Linked DNA regions of Nothobranchius furzeri. The protein of the gene in region 1 interacts with the protein of each later gene in a pairwise test. Links are inferred from orthologs where the notes say so. Each region holds a gene or a part of one and is shown on either strand. Other genes may lie near its edges. The genes, in order: cAMP-dependent protein kinase type II-beta regulatory subunit, taf12 and prkacab.

Region 1 (2,937 bases):
TTGCTTACTTAAAGCAGGCTTCTATTGACACCTGCTGTGTAATCCGGTTTAAATGTTTGCGGAGAAGGCAGAGAAACCTGCAGCAGTAGAGGAAATGCAACGTGAGGAGAATGCAGAATTATGGATTGCATCCCTATTTGTCCACAACAGTGTTTTTGTGCTTCCTGGTTTGATTATTGAAAACGACGTTGATTTTTTTTCTTGCAGAAATGTATTTCGTAACAGTGCATGGCTGTGTATAACAAGACAAAATATATACCTGTGTTTCAGGATCGACTGACATTCAGGAGGATCATAGTGAAGAACAACGCCAAGAAGAGGAAGATGTATGAAGCATTTATTGAAACACTACCACTGCTCACATCCTTAGAGGTAAACAAAAGATGAGCTTTTTTACTCAAGTGGCAACAAACTGCATCATGTTGTTACAGTAAAAGTGTAAAAAAAAACACATTTCATTTTGTCGGCAGGTGTCAGAGAGAATGAAGGTGGTGGACGTGCTAACCACTAGGGTGTACAATGATTCACAGCAGATCATTGCTCAGGTGAAGACACTTTAAATTAGTTTTGTGTCTGTAAAATTTGAGTTGCTAGTTTTTGTGCTCAGAAGGTCATATTGTTTTTCATGACAGGGTGATTTAGCAGATTGCTTCTACATCGTGGAGAGTGGCCAAGTTAGAATCACCATGAAGAGAAGCCGGGTATTTATTTATTCTGAGGAAACTTTCATATATAGTTACTGTATTAACATGTGATAACATGTGTTTATCATTCCAGACAAAAACAGACCAGGAGGAAGAGGAGGTGGATATTGCCACATGCACAAGGGGCCAGTATTTTGGAGAGTTGGCTCTTGTCACAAACAAGCCCAGAGCTGCATCTGCCTATGCTGTGGGGAGTGTCAAATGCTTGGGTACATTTTGTACAGTTCTATGTTTTGAAGGGTCATAGCTCATAAATGCTCATAAATACAATTCTGTTGTTACTGTTTTTGAAATATTTTAGCTTGTGCTATTAAGAGTATTTGACAAACCTGATAAATGTTCAGGTCTATTTTATAAATACCCCCAAACCCCAAAATGTGAATTATTGCACTCATTGCTGGAGTTGATTTATACAACAGTTTCACTAAATAATATCTAATAAGTGCTTTAAAATAAAGCACACTAAGGAAAATGTGATGCTATAAACTTAAAATATAGATAAACAAGTTTAGGTATTTTGTCAGTTTTTTCATGAATGTATTTTCAGACGTCTTTTTGAATCCACATACCAAACATATGTTTGCTTTGATAACGTTAAAATGTAACAAAAAAACGTTGGTACATAATAAACATAAAACAGACAAAGGTTTCCTGATTTTGGGATCACCTCAGTTATCATGACAAATGCTGGAGAACACTCTGATGACAGAAAGCTCTCATCAGGTGCACTGCCATATCTACAAGGCGACCAACAAAAGCTCACAGTTTTTTTGCGGGTCTACCCCGGTCACTATCTTTTGTACTCCCAAAGATTCACTTGGGTACTTTCTTTTCAAAGAGTAGTTTCTCATCTTCTTTGAAGTACAAACATCCAGGACTGAAATTGTCTGGAAGCTCGTCTTACTTTCTTATTCTGATGTTTTAAAATTCTATTTAAGGTTCAGTAAAGGAAGAAAGTTTACATTCTTCAGAACAGTCCAGATTACTGCTTATGAGTCGACATCAGGTATGTCCAAAGTGCTGCCCAGAAGGAATTTGATTTAGCTCGGTCTCCGATTGTATTTCTACATTAATTAATTTTGTCTCTCCAGCAGGCTTTTAATGTAGATCAATACTTAAAAAAAAATTACGTTCAGATTTTTAATAGGCCAAGTTTGGACCTATTTTAAGGAGTGCAATAAAAACAAATCACCATTATTTGTTGGTCTTTTAAAAAAAATCCAAATTTTGTGACCTACGACTACTAATTAGATGCTTTTTGACCCTCGTCTTGAAAATGTTTGGACAGCTTTAGTCTACATTATTTAATTTCTGTAAAACAATTCCTTATCCCTTCCTTTTTGTTAGTCATGGACGTTAAAGCCTTTGAGAGACTGCTCGGCCCATGCATGGACATCATGAAGAGGAACATTGCTAACTACGAGGAGCAGCTGGTGACCTTGTTTGGAAGTAGCCCTGAGATTGAACAACAGAATGCATGAGGTGACTCCTCCAATGGACCATAATCAAGATGATACAAAACACACTCATACACAAAAAAGAGGCTTATATGGATGTTTTCCATGTTACTACTTTAAACAAGCTTTTTTAAGAAAACAGAAAACAAGACATGTAAATATCCACCACTCTACATCTGAAACAAGACGTGTTGAGTTTGCAACCGAACGTCACAGCTGCAGTAAGCCAAAGCAGAGTTGCGTAGATGCTTGTTTAATTACATTTGCCATGATTTTCACCCTAAAATATGTGTGCATTTTACTTGTTGGTGCCAAGTGCTTTATTTGTTGGTAAATGAACACTAACTTTCGCTTTTCTTCATAACGGTATAGCAGTAATGCATAATGTGTACATTTCTGATCCATGCTTTTCATGAACTGGGTGCCAAAGCTAGTTACTCTTACTGGATAATTGTGAGCAGATTTGCCTCCTTTGTTTGTCAGCGGAGGTGCAACATGAGAAAAATCAGGACTTTTGATTACAGCAAAATGTAGTTAGCCGTCATACGAAAATACGTTTGTTAGTCATCAGACTGAAATCTTTAAATCCATCCCCATAATTACTGTTAGTACATGTTTGTGGCTTTTTGCCCAATGCTCTGCTTTTTCAACAAAGCAAACTTCAGAAACATAGCTGATAGTTTTGTAACAAAATACAACACATTGCTGTAAATTTTTAACTATTTACTGTTGGACCCACTTTTAACAACATCCCCTCTACTCTGTAGTCATTATAA
Region 2 (4,276 bases), on another chromosome or scaffold:
CCTTCCCTAATGTGATCCAGTCTTGGGCCAGTAGTTACAAATAAAATGCTTTGCTGTAACAATAACTGCACATCACTCTACAAGTGACTGACTTGTTTTCATGCACTGCTCCTGCAGCCATTGTGATCCCTCTAATAAACCCTTCATCCACCAAAAGAAAACAACTTAACAGCTGTTGCTTTATTTTATTCCACAGCCTAAATCATCCTCGTGTTTAGTGAATCCATCACATTTGTTGATATATCGGCTCAGCCTCTGAACCACTTCATCGTTCATCTAGATGCAGTTTTAAATGTGCTGGGATTGCCTGACACCGAGACATTTTTACTCGTGAAACCCTCAACTACACTCACATAAAACATCCATTTTCTTTGCTTTTCAAATGAATGACACTCAAGTCAAAGCATGGAGAATGCAAACTCCAAAGCATAACTTGTATCGTGGTATTATTACTTTATTTCTGACAATGTAAAATTCAATTAAATACCATATCTTTCTATTTTTGATTTAGAGAAAGAAAAGGGAAAAACAAAGTCAAGCAGGGTAAACACAGTCAGTATGGTTATCATCTCCATGATCAAGAGTGTCAAAAATCTAACCACATTAGACGATGACGTTACAAACAATATTTTTAACAGAGTACAATGAGGTTCAGCCGGTCGTAGCGCAGCGGTAACACGTCAGAGTAAAACACACAAATACTATCGTGCTCTGGCAAAGCACGCAAATGTCTCAAGAGACGTGACAAAAACGATTTATTTCAAAAGATATACACCCCTCGTCAAAACCACGTACATTGTCTATTACCAAAAAAACATTCAGAACAACAGAGTCTGATGCTACTTTTTGGTCGTCTTGCGGATCAGCGCCATTCTCTGAAACAGAAAATAAGAGATGATCTCAGTCAGGTTTTTTTTACGTGTGCAGACTCACGTACGATATTGAAAGGAATATTTAGACACTATTGATTCTAACAGAAACCAACTTTTTTTCATATTTACCTGTTTATGAGCCTCTGTGGTGCATGCTTTCTTGAACGGTCTGATTTCATCTGACCCGTAACCAGGTATCCACATGTTCCACTGGCGCTCTGAAAGCATGAAATGATTACATGAAGACAATATGTCACCTCAGACCTCACGATATTTCATTAGAAAGAATATTTGAAAGTAATGCTATTATGTTCTAGGTTTGATTTCCTTGTGCAAAAGTCCCAAAATTGTACTCATTTTAGAATTTTACAATTAAGTTACCCGAAACCTACCGAGGTGTAGCTGAACATCTTTAACTTCTAATGTGTTGGATTTGCGATGGCGTGCTAGTTGGCAGGCAGCTGTCACCACACTTTCTATGAAGTCATCCGCAATTTGAAGCAGCATCTGAGAAGAGAAACATTTCTGATGCCTTCAAAAACATTTATAGAACTCAAGCGACACTATTCAACCTCGAAAAGGATAATTATTATCAATTGCCCCATTATTTCTTGAAATCAGACTTCTAAACTATTTTTAAATGAGAAAAAATGCTTTATTTATGTTTAAGTCGTGTATTTTGAAGCAGATTTGGGTATGAAAGTGGAAATTTAAGTTGAACACCACTAACAAACCTCCTCAACATCCTCATCCAGCTGCTCATTTGGGTCGATTTCTCTCACCAGGTCCTGAAGCTTCTTCTTACTGAGCACCTGGAGAAAATTTTCACAGAAATGTGTGTTAGAATAGAATTCTTGTTTTTTTATTTAGAGATAAACACTTTATTCAAAATGACATTAGACAAAGACAGCAAAGAGGAGGAACAAACCTGAGAGCCCTCTGGGCTGCTTCTACCTGCAGGACCCGAGGGCAGACCCTTCACTATTATCGGGGTGTTGTTAGCCATGCTGGTAAACACAGGCAAGCGTACTGGGATCCACTGGTTTCTGAGGTGCCCAAAATGTGGAAGTCCTTCAGAGAAAGCAACAGTCCTGGGTGACCGTCCAACTTGGGCACAGGTAGAATAGATCACCTTCGTACGAGGAACACGGCCTTTAATCTAAGGTGAAGAATCAGAAAATAAACAGCAGTCCCAAGTGAAGTTAGCTTGATCACAAGTTTTACCAGAGTGACAGATTTTAAAAGGAAATTTCCATGACATAATTCCTCTCAATAAATCAAATTAATAACAGTTTTTTATTTCCAGCACAGATATTTGTTTTTAATTGCTGCTATTCGTGATGAATGTTGATCCACTGACTTGCTACCCATTAATGATTGTTACAATGACCATTGCACAGCTGTTGAAAAATATGTGCTTGAAAGTATGTAAGGTAACCTAATACTGACATAAAATAATATGAAGTGGAATAAAAGTGTTTGTGAGCTCGCTGTAGCTTCAATTCGCCATAGACTGATTAGATTAGCAGTCAAACAACGAGTTAGCCCTGGACAAATTACAGACAGAAACCAAAAAAGCAGAACATTTCGTAACATTCACTAAAACTCTCCGGTTGCAAGCAAGCGACTCAGCATCTGTGACAAAAAAAAAGCAGCGATTTAAAAAGTAGAAAATCCAGATACTAAAAACAAACGCTATCCATTTTTGACGTTAGCCACAGACGCTAACGTTAGCAGCTAATCTGACGGAAGAACGTTATGTACCCTGCACTCAAAAATTATCTGAATTCGAATACTCACCACGTTAAATAAACACTATCTGTCCATATTTATTTGATACAAAAACGACTAAGTGTTTTAGTTACAAAGATAATCCAAAATTGTGTCTCCATACAATAAAAACAAACGAGCGAGTGCTTTTCAGCATTTCCGGTTAGCTTGGTTATACTTCCTGTGTCAAGGCGTTGTTCCTATGTCGCCTCCTGCTGGATATTCAAAGTATTACACAAACAAGCGGGTTAAAACTTCACGGATTTACTGAATTTTACAGATAAATGAACAATTTTCCAATAAAATAGTGATAATCCAATCAAACAATATAAATAAACTGTACTTAATTGAAATATATTACAACAGAATTTCTATTTTAAACCCCAAACATTCCCTAATTTAATCTAAAACACTTCTGTGGAATAATTTGCTAAATGAAACATCTCTTAAACCACAAGTTAATGAAGAATATGAGCTTTTTATCAACCCAAATTTATTTTGTATTGAATTTATTTGTTTTGTAAATATCGTGTGCACACATAATCAGTTAATGACCAGATTTCGTGCCAAAACATAATAAAACAAATTAAGGGATCAAAGCCGATGAAGCGCATAGTGCTGGCTTGGCTTTTGTATTACATGTCACCCTACAAATAAAAAGTAATAGTAAAACAAAAGCAAAACTACAACAAGTTCTTCAGGAAACCCCTGAACTTTCAAACCTACCTTGAGCGCTTTCCCCCGTGGATACAAATGACGCGCTGAGTTTACATAATACCATTGGCGGAGGAGCGAAGCGTCCCTTTGTCTGGCGCAGTTGAGCAAATAACCGAAATGTAATCCCTAGAGCAACGCTGTTGCAAAACCATACCTATTCCGCGTCATTTATTTTCATGCATAAAATGAAAATAATGGCTATGATCTTTCAGAGTCTCTTAATAATCTGATATCACACTTCCTGGACAAAAGCAGAACAGAAAGCCACACCTACGCTCTGATCTACTAATACAAAGGAAACTTTCATTTCAGTTTAGAGCTGCGCAGCACTTCAGGACTTCAGTTTTAGTGGTGAAAAGATTTTCCACAGACATGAAAACCTTTCTGGTGTTTTCACTGGTGGTCCTGATTCATGGCACCTTCGGTAAATATGTTTCTAATTCTCATCAACTGTTTTTAAAGCTGTGTGTTTTTTCTTATGTAAAAGGAAGCTTGGTTTAGGATTTTACTCTTTTAGTTTTTCTCATTTTACTTTTTATCTTTTTGTTATAGATTTATTCTACAGAGTCGTGTTTACTTGCCTGTTTGCGTCTCATCTGTTCTAAACACTGGTGCTTACGTCACGCAGAGATAAACAGCAAATGTTCAGAGTTCAGAAAATTAAACAAATTAAGTATATAGAATATAACCTCATGTTTACTGGGTTTTAGTAGAAAAATAAAAACATCAACAAACTTAAACTCTTGGCGCCAATAGATGGAACCTGTTTGTGGTCATGTGATCAAAGTATCTAGTATTTCTATGGTTTAAACTTATTAATCTACATGCTTTCACTGATCAATAACTTCATTATTTCTGTTTTTATGCAGCAACTTTGACCATTAAAGGGCCAACTGAGCCTGTTCTGGAGGAAGAGC
Region 3 (4,263 bases), about 56 Mb from region 1:
AAAGAGAGAAGGGAGGGGTGTGTCTGCTCTCGACCATTTTATACCGATCAGTGAGTAACTCCCCCTTCAATCCATCTGTTACCTCTGTCTGCTTCTCACATCTGCCCTGTTTAAAACAACCGAAACAGCAGCAATCAGAATTGGATGCACTCCGAATGCAGCATTATGTAAACATGCAGCAGGGTTTAAGAGCTAAAAATAAGCTGATCAGCTGCAAATCGATCTGGTAAATATTGCCAAACATCTGCTTGTTGCATCTTTATTTAATTTGAAGAGCTGCCACTTTTGCCTAACGTTGACAGTCATTTGGCATGGTTTTACAGCACCTGAGATCAAATGTGGAAAAGAATATAGCTGGTTAATTGGTTGTGCTGTAAAAAATGTGGCTTCAGAGTCAAAGTGATGAGGATGCTATGAGATCTATTTATAGATTTGATTTATTTTTTCCTACCAACACAAGCTTACGTTAAATCAAAGGGGCATTCTAATGCAAATCTGCGAATCGGAGCTTTTGATGATGCTGATGATAAAAGGACCCCTGGTCCGCTGCTCTCTAGTCCAGCTGCTGCGGGGTGATGAAGATGAAACACCAGTTTTTAAAATCTTGTTTATTTGTGTTCATTTCTCACAGAATAGCCTGCGAAATGTTTAGATGTCTTTGCTGCCACACTGCGCCGCGCGTGCGTTAAATTCTGACCAACATTTCTAAAAATAGACTCACGGTTGACGTCACTCAGCCAAACGTGTAACAGTCGCTCAGCAGCGGGAAAGAGCGAAGTAGAGGAGGAGGGTATTTATGTCAATCACTGGTGACAGCCAATGGGCGTCCTCGTGTTCGCTGAGATTCCCACGGTCCGTCCGTATCTAGCCAATAGAAGGGCCGGATCACAAAAAGTGGGCGGAGTCGTTGTCGGGAGGAAAATATTCTGTGACGTTGCCCTCATTCGCGTTGTGTTGGGCGGTGGGAAGCTGCTGTTGTTGATTGACGGCTGCAGTTGGCCAATCACAGTAAACTGTTGGTCACCGCTCTGATAAAGTGGCCAATCATCGACGTAAGCACGAGCTGTCATTCAACGCTGGTTTAAGCAAGTAGGCGGGACGTTCGCTCCGCTGTAGTTCCGTCATCTCGCTGGTCTCCGAGGCTACGGGGGCCCGATGTTGATTTGGGTGAATACCTGTCGTTGTCGGACCCCGCTGAGGCTAAAATTTTGCTAAGCTGGTTTTATTGACAACAAGCGAGACGCTTTCGATTGAGAACATTGCTCCCTCTCCGCTGGTATTGTTGTTTTTATAGGCTGGGAGAGGTGGTGGAGAGCCGGGGAGGGGAGCTCCGTTCGGCGGGGGCTGCAAGGAGGGTCAGGTGGAGACTGTATCCTCCGTGTCCAGGCCAGCTGCCTCCGAGCTCAACCCTGAAGCTCCGGCGAAGCCCCAGCTCAACGTGGATTTAAATCCGATGCTGGCCAGCGGCTGCGGGTGACCGTGGGAGGGAGCGAACCCGCTTATCTAACGTGGCGCCGCATTAGCAGCTGTCAGGCTACTAAAGAGCAAGACCTCGGAGTGAACGCTCCGTGCTGCTGCTGGATTCAGGAAAACACCGTCCAGATCGAGATTTGACCGACTTGAGGAGGCTGCAGGGCGGCCGGAACGCCGCGGATTGCCTGTTGACAGGTTGTCATCATGGGCAACGCGCCCACGGCAAGAAAGGGCAGCGAGATGGAAAGCGGTGGGTATCCTGATCCGTTACATCCTCACGAGATGATCAGAGACAACGTGACACGGCAGGCGATGTTAGCTTTACAAAACCTGCAACACAGCGGCCTTTCCTCACGATGCTTTCATTTAATACCATCCACATGATGTCCTCCTTACAAGCGAATTAGGATGTTATTTGACATGAACCCCATACCAGCAGCGATGGCTGCAAGTTCTTCATCATTTCAAATATGTTATTGAGATCTCTAAATAAAACTCAAGATTTCCTGCTACAGGGCATTTAACTGAGGATGCAAAGCTAGAATTAACTGCAAAACAACCACTCTTAAGCTGCAGTAATATTGGCATCCTCACTTCCTCTTGTACTCGGATCTTGGCAAGACTGCAACAAACTATGTGTCAGATATTTCCTGAACACTCTGTGCCTGTTGCTCTTTGGAGGGATGTATTGTCAAGACTTCTTGCAAACATGGGGGGGGGGGGGGGGGGGGGCATTTAGTGTTGATTGGCTAAGGGATATAATTTGGTCTATCAAATAAACAAAAGTATGGAAGCCTACTGATGAGAAAGCGATGGCAATCAAAGCGATTGTGTTTTATAAATCTACATTTTAGGTTGACATTACGTGACTTTTCATTAAGAACCACAACCTTTGTACCTCAGGGCGCAGTAAAAACAACCTGCACATTGGAAACATGAAAAATATACATTCTTCAATATGAAGCGTGAATATTTTGGCTCAGAATCGCTGCTTTGGATGTTATTCTTGTGTGTTGTTGTGCTGTAAGTTTTACTCACGTTTACAGCAATCCTGTTACTAAATAAAACTGGATTTACTTTGACTAATTTGATAGACGATGTGTGGGGCTGGGAAAAAGTATTTACCTCTTTACAGATTTCTACAGTCTTTGCTTTTGGGGTCAAATTTAGATGTTTCAGACTCTGCTAATTTCAGTATCTGATTTAATTCATCAAGGTGGGGGGAAATTGTCTGGCTCTATGTGAAAATAGCCTGCAGCCAGCCGCATGCTTCCTTATGGGAAGTTCTCTGTGTAGAATTAAACAGAGGATGAGTCTGGCAGGCCAGGCTAATGTGAAAACTGTTTAATTGGGGATAACACCTTTGGTGACAACAGCTGATGCAGCTTTAAGGTCAAAGGCTACAAACTCCTTCAAGATTTTCTGATAGAATTCATGTTTGCATCCGTTGCAGCAAGTGGTCCAGGTGCTGAAGCAGCGAAGCCCTAAACATCACACTACCACCACCATGGTTGACCATGATGCTCTTTCACTGACATTTAATTTTACACCAGATTTAATGGGTTGCACACCTTCCATAAAGTTTGAATTTCATTTGGTCAGTCCACAAAATATTTTGCCAAAAGCCCGGGAGATCATGATGCCTTTGGCAAATGTGAGATGGGTCTTAGTTGTGTTCTTTTTTTAATCTGCTGAGGTTCTGGCCTTGGAACTATAAACATGAATACTTAGATGACCCATTGGGCTCTGGGGAGTGTAACAGCGTGCATTCAGGCTTCCAACACAAAATAATGGACACCACCAGTGTTGTTGAGTACTAAAAGAACTTCAACAAAAGAACTTACCAAGTATTCTGTGCACCTAAATAATAGTGACACACACCCCCATCGACAGTTGCCACATACAACCTGAAAAACATTACAAATAAGATGTAGAAACGCCAGGAAAAGTGACACCGGTCAATTTAGGCAGAAATGTTGAAATTTTTAACGACATAACAATTGATAACAACAATAAACAACTACTCGGTTCTGTAAAAAAAAAAAACAGAACATATAAATGAGAAAAAAATAAAGCTGAAAACTACTTCCTGGTAGCACTGGACATCTTAAAATTTGTGATCTTGGGTCCTCTGAAACCTACCAGCTCGCAGCTCAGAATTCTGAGTTTAATGCGTCATTTCCGGTTAACTTACCTCAGAAAAACGAGTTCTGACGACAACTGGAACGCACCACTAATCTCCATTTTCAGTCAATGGGGCTAAAAAAGCTATTTTTTAATCTGCTTTGCCTGACGCCCTGAATTGCACACATGTTGCACTTCAATTTAAATGAAAAGTAAAGATGTGTGTTTCGATCACACCTGTCAAATTTTGAAACGTATGAGTTTGTAAAAATTTGTAATTACAATTACAAATCGGACGTCCCCCCCCCCCCCCCCCCCCCCCGTGTAGCTGCTATTTACCACATGGCAAGATTCATGGTTGTTCTTTCCTACTGAAAGAAGGATTCGAAGCTCCCTTAACCATTTTTCCTATCCTCTTCTATAATGGCCTCCATTTAAAATGATAGCGCAGCCGCGATGTGGCGCGTCTGTCTCCGGTGTGCCCTAAGCTTTAGACACCATAAAGACAGCACCAATCCAAGGGGGGCCTACATATGGTATGTCTGTTGGGTTATAAGCTTGACTCTCCGAAAGTCCAGTTAGAATTGACAAAGTTCATCGGATGAGAAGCGAAACATCTTCAAGAAACCAAAGAAGTCCAGTTGCCTTCATTTGAACTCTCATAAT

The links.
Region 2: the proteins of cAMP-dependent protein kinase type II-beta regulatory subunit (region 1) and taf12 interact in binary tests that used the Homo sapiens proteins (3 or more experiments, as listed by UniProt). The two-hybrid records come from large-scale screens. The link is inferred for Nothobranchius furzeri from reciprocal best matches to the Homo sapiens genes PRKAR2B and TAF12.
Region 3: the proteins of cAMP-dependent protein kinase type II-beta regulatory subunit (region 1) and prkacab interact in binary tests that used the Homo sapiens proteins (3 or more experiments, as listed by UniProt). The link is inferred for Nothobranchius furzeri from reciprocal best matches to the Homo sapiens genes PRKAR2B and PRKACA.

The regions. Positions count from the first base shown.
Region 1 is NC_091744.1:62,300,482-62,303,418, forward strand, and holds the end of cAMP-dependent protein kinase type II-beta regulatory subunit, read left to right. Parts: intron 1-270; coding exon 271-372; intron 373-470; coding exon 471-545; intron 546-632; coding exon 633-701; intron 702-777; coding exon 778-913; intron 914-2,051; coding exon 2,052-2,185; 3' UTR 2,186-2,322; downstream 2,323-2,937. UniProt on the Homo sapiens protein: Regulatory subunit of the cAMP-dependent protein kinases involved in cAMP signaling in cells. Type II regulatory chains mediate membrane association by binding to anchoring proteins, including the MAP2 kinase.
Region 2 is NC_091745.1:72,393,501-72,397,776, forward strand, and holds taf12 (transcription initiation factor TFIID subunit 12), read right to left. Parts: upstream 2,849-4,276; 5' UTR 2,673-2,848; intron 2,032-2,672; 5' UTR 1,879-2,031; coding exon 1,801-1,878; intron 1,685-1,800; coding exon 1,607-1,684; intron 1,380-1,606; coding exon 1,265-1,379; intron 1,091-1,264; coding exon 1,002-1,090; intron 876-1,001; coding exon 840-875; 3' UTR 434-839; downstream 1-433. Other genes in the region: si:ch211-79k12.1 (roundabout homolog 1), read left to right, coding at 3,732-3,783, 4,229-4,276. UniProt on the Homo sapiens protein: The TFIID basal transcription factor complex plays a major role in the initiation of RNA polymerase II (Pol II)-dependent transcription.
Region 3 is NC_091744.1:6,143,533-6,147,795, reverse strand, and holds the start of prkacab (cAMP-dependent protein kinase catalytic subunit alpha), read left to right. Parts: upstream 1-1,453; 5' UTR 1,454-1,677; coding exon 1,678-1,723; intron 1,724-4,263.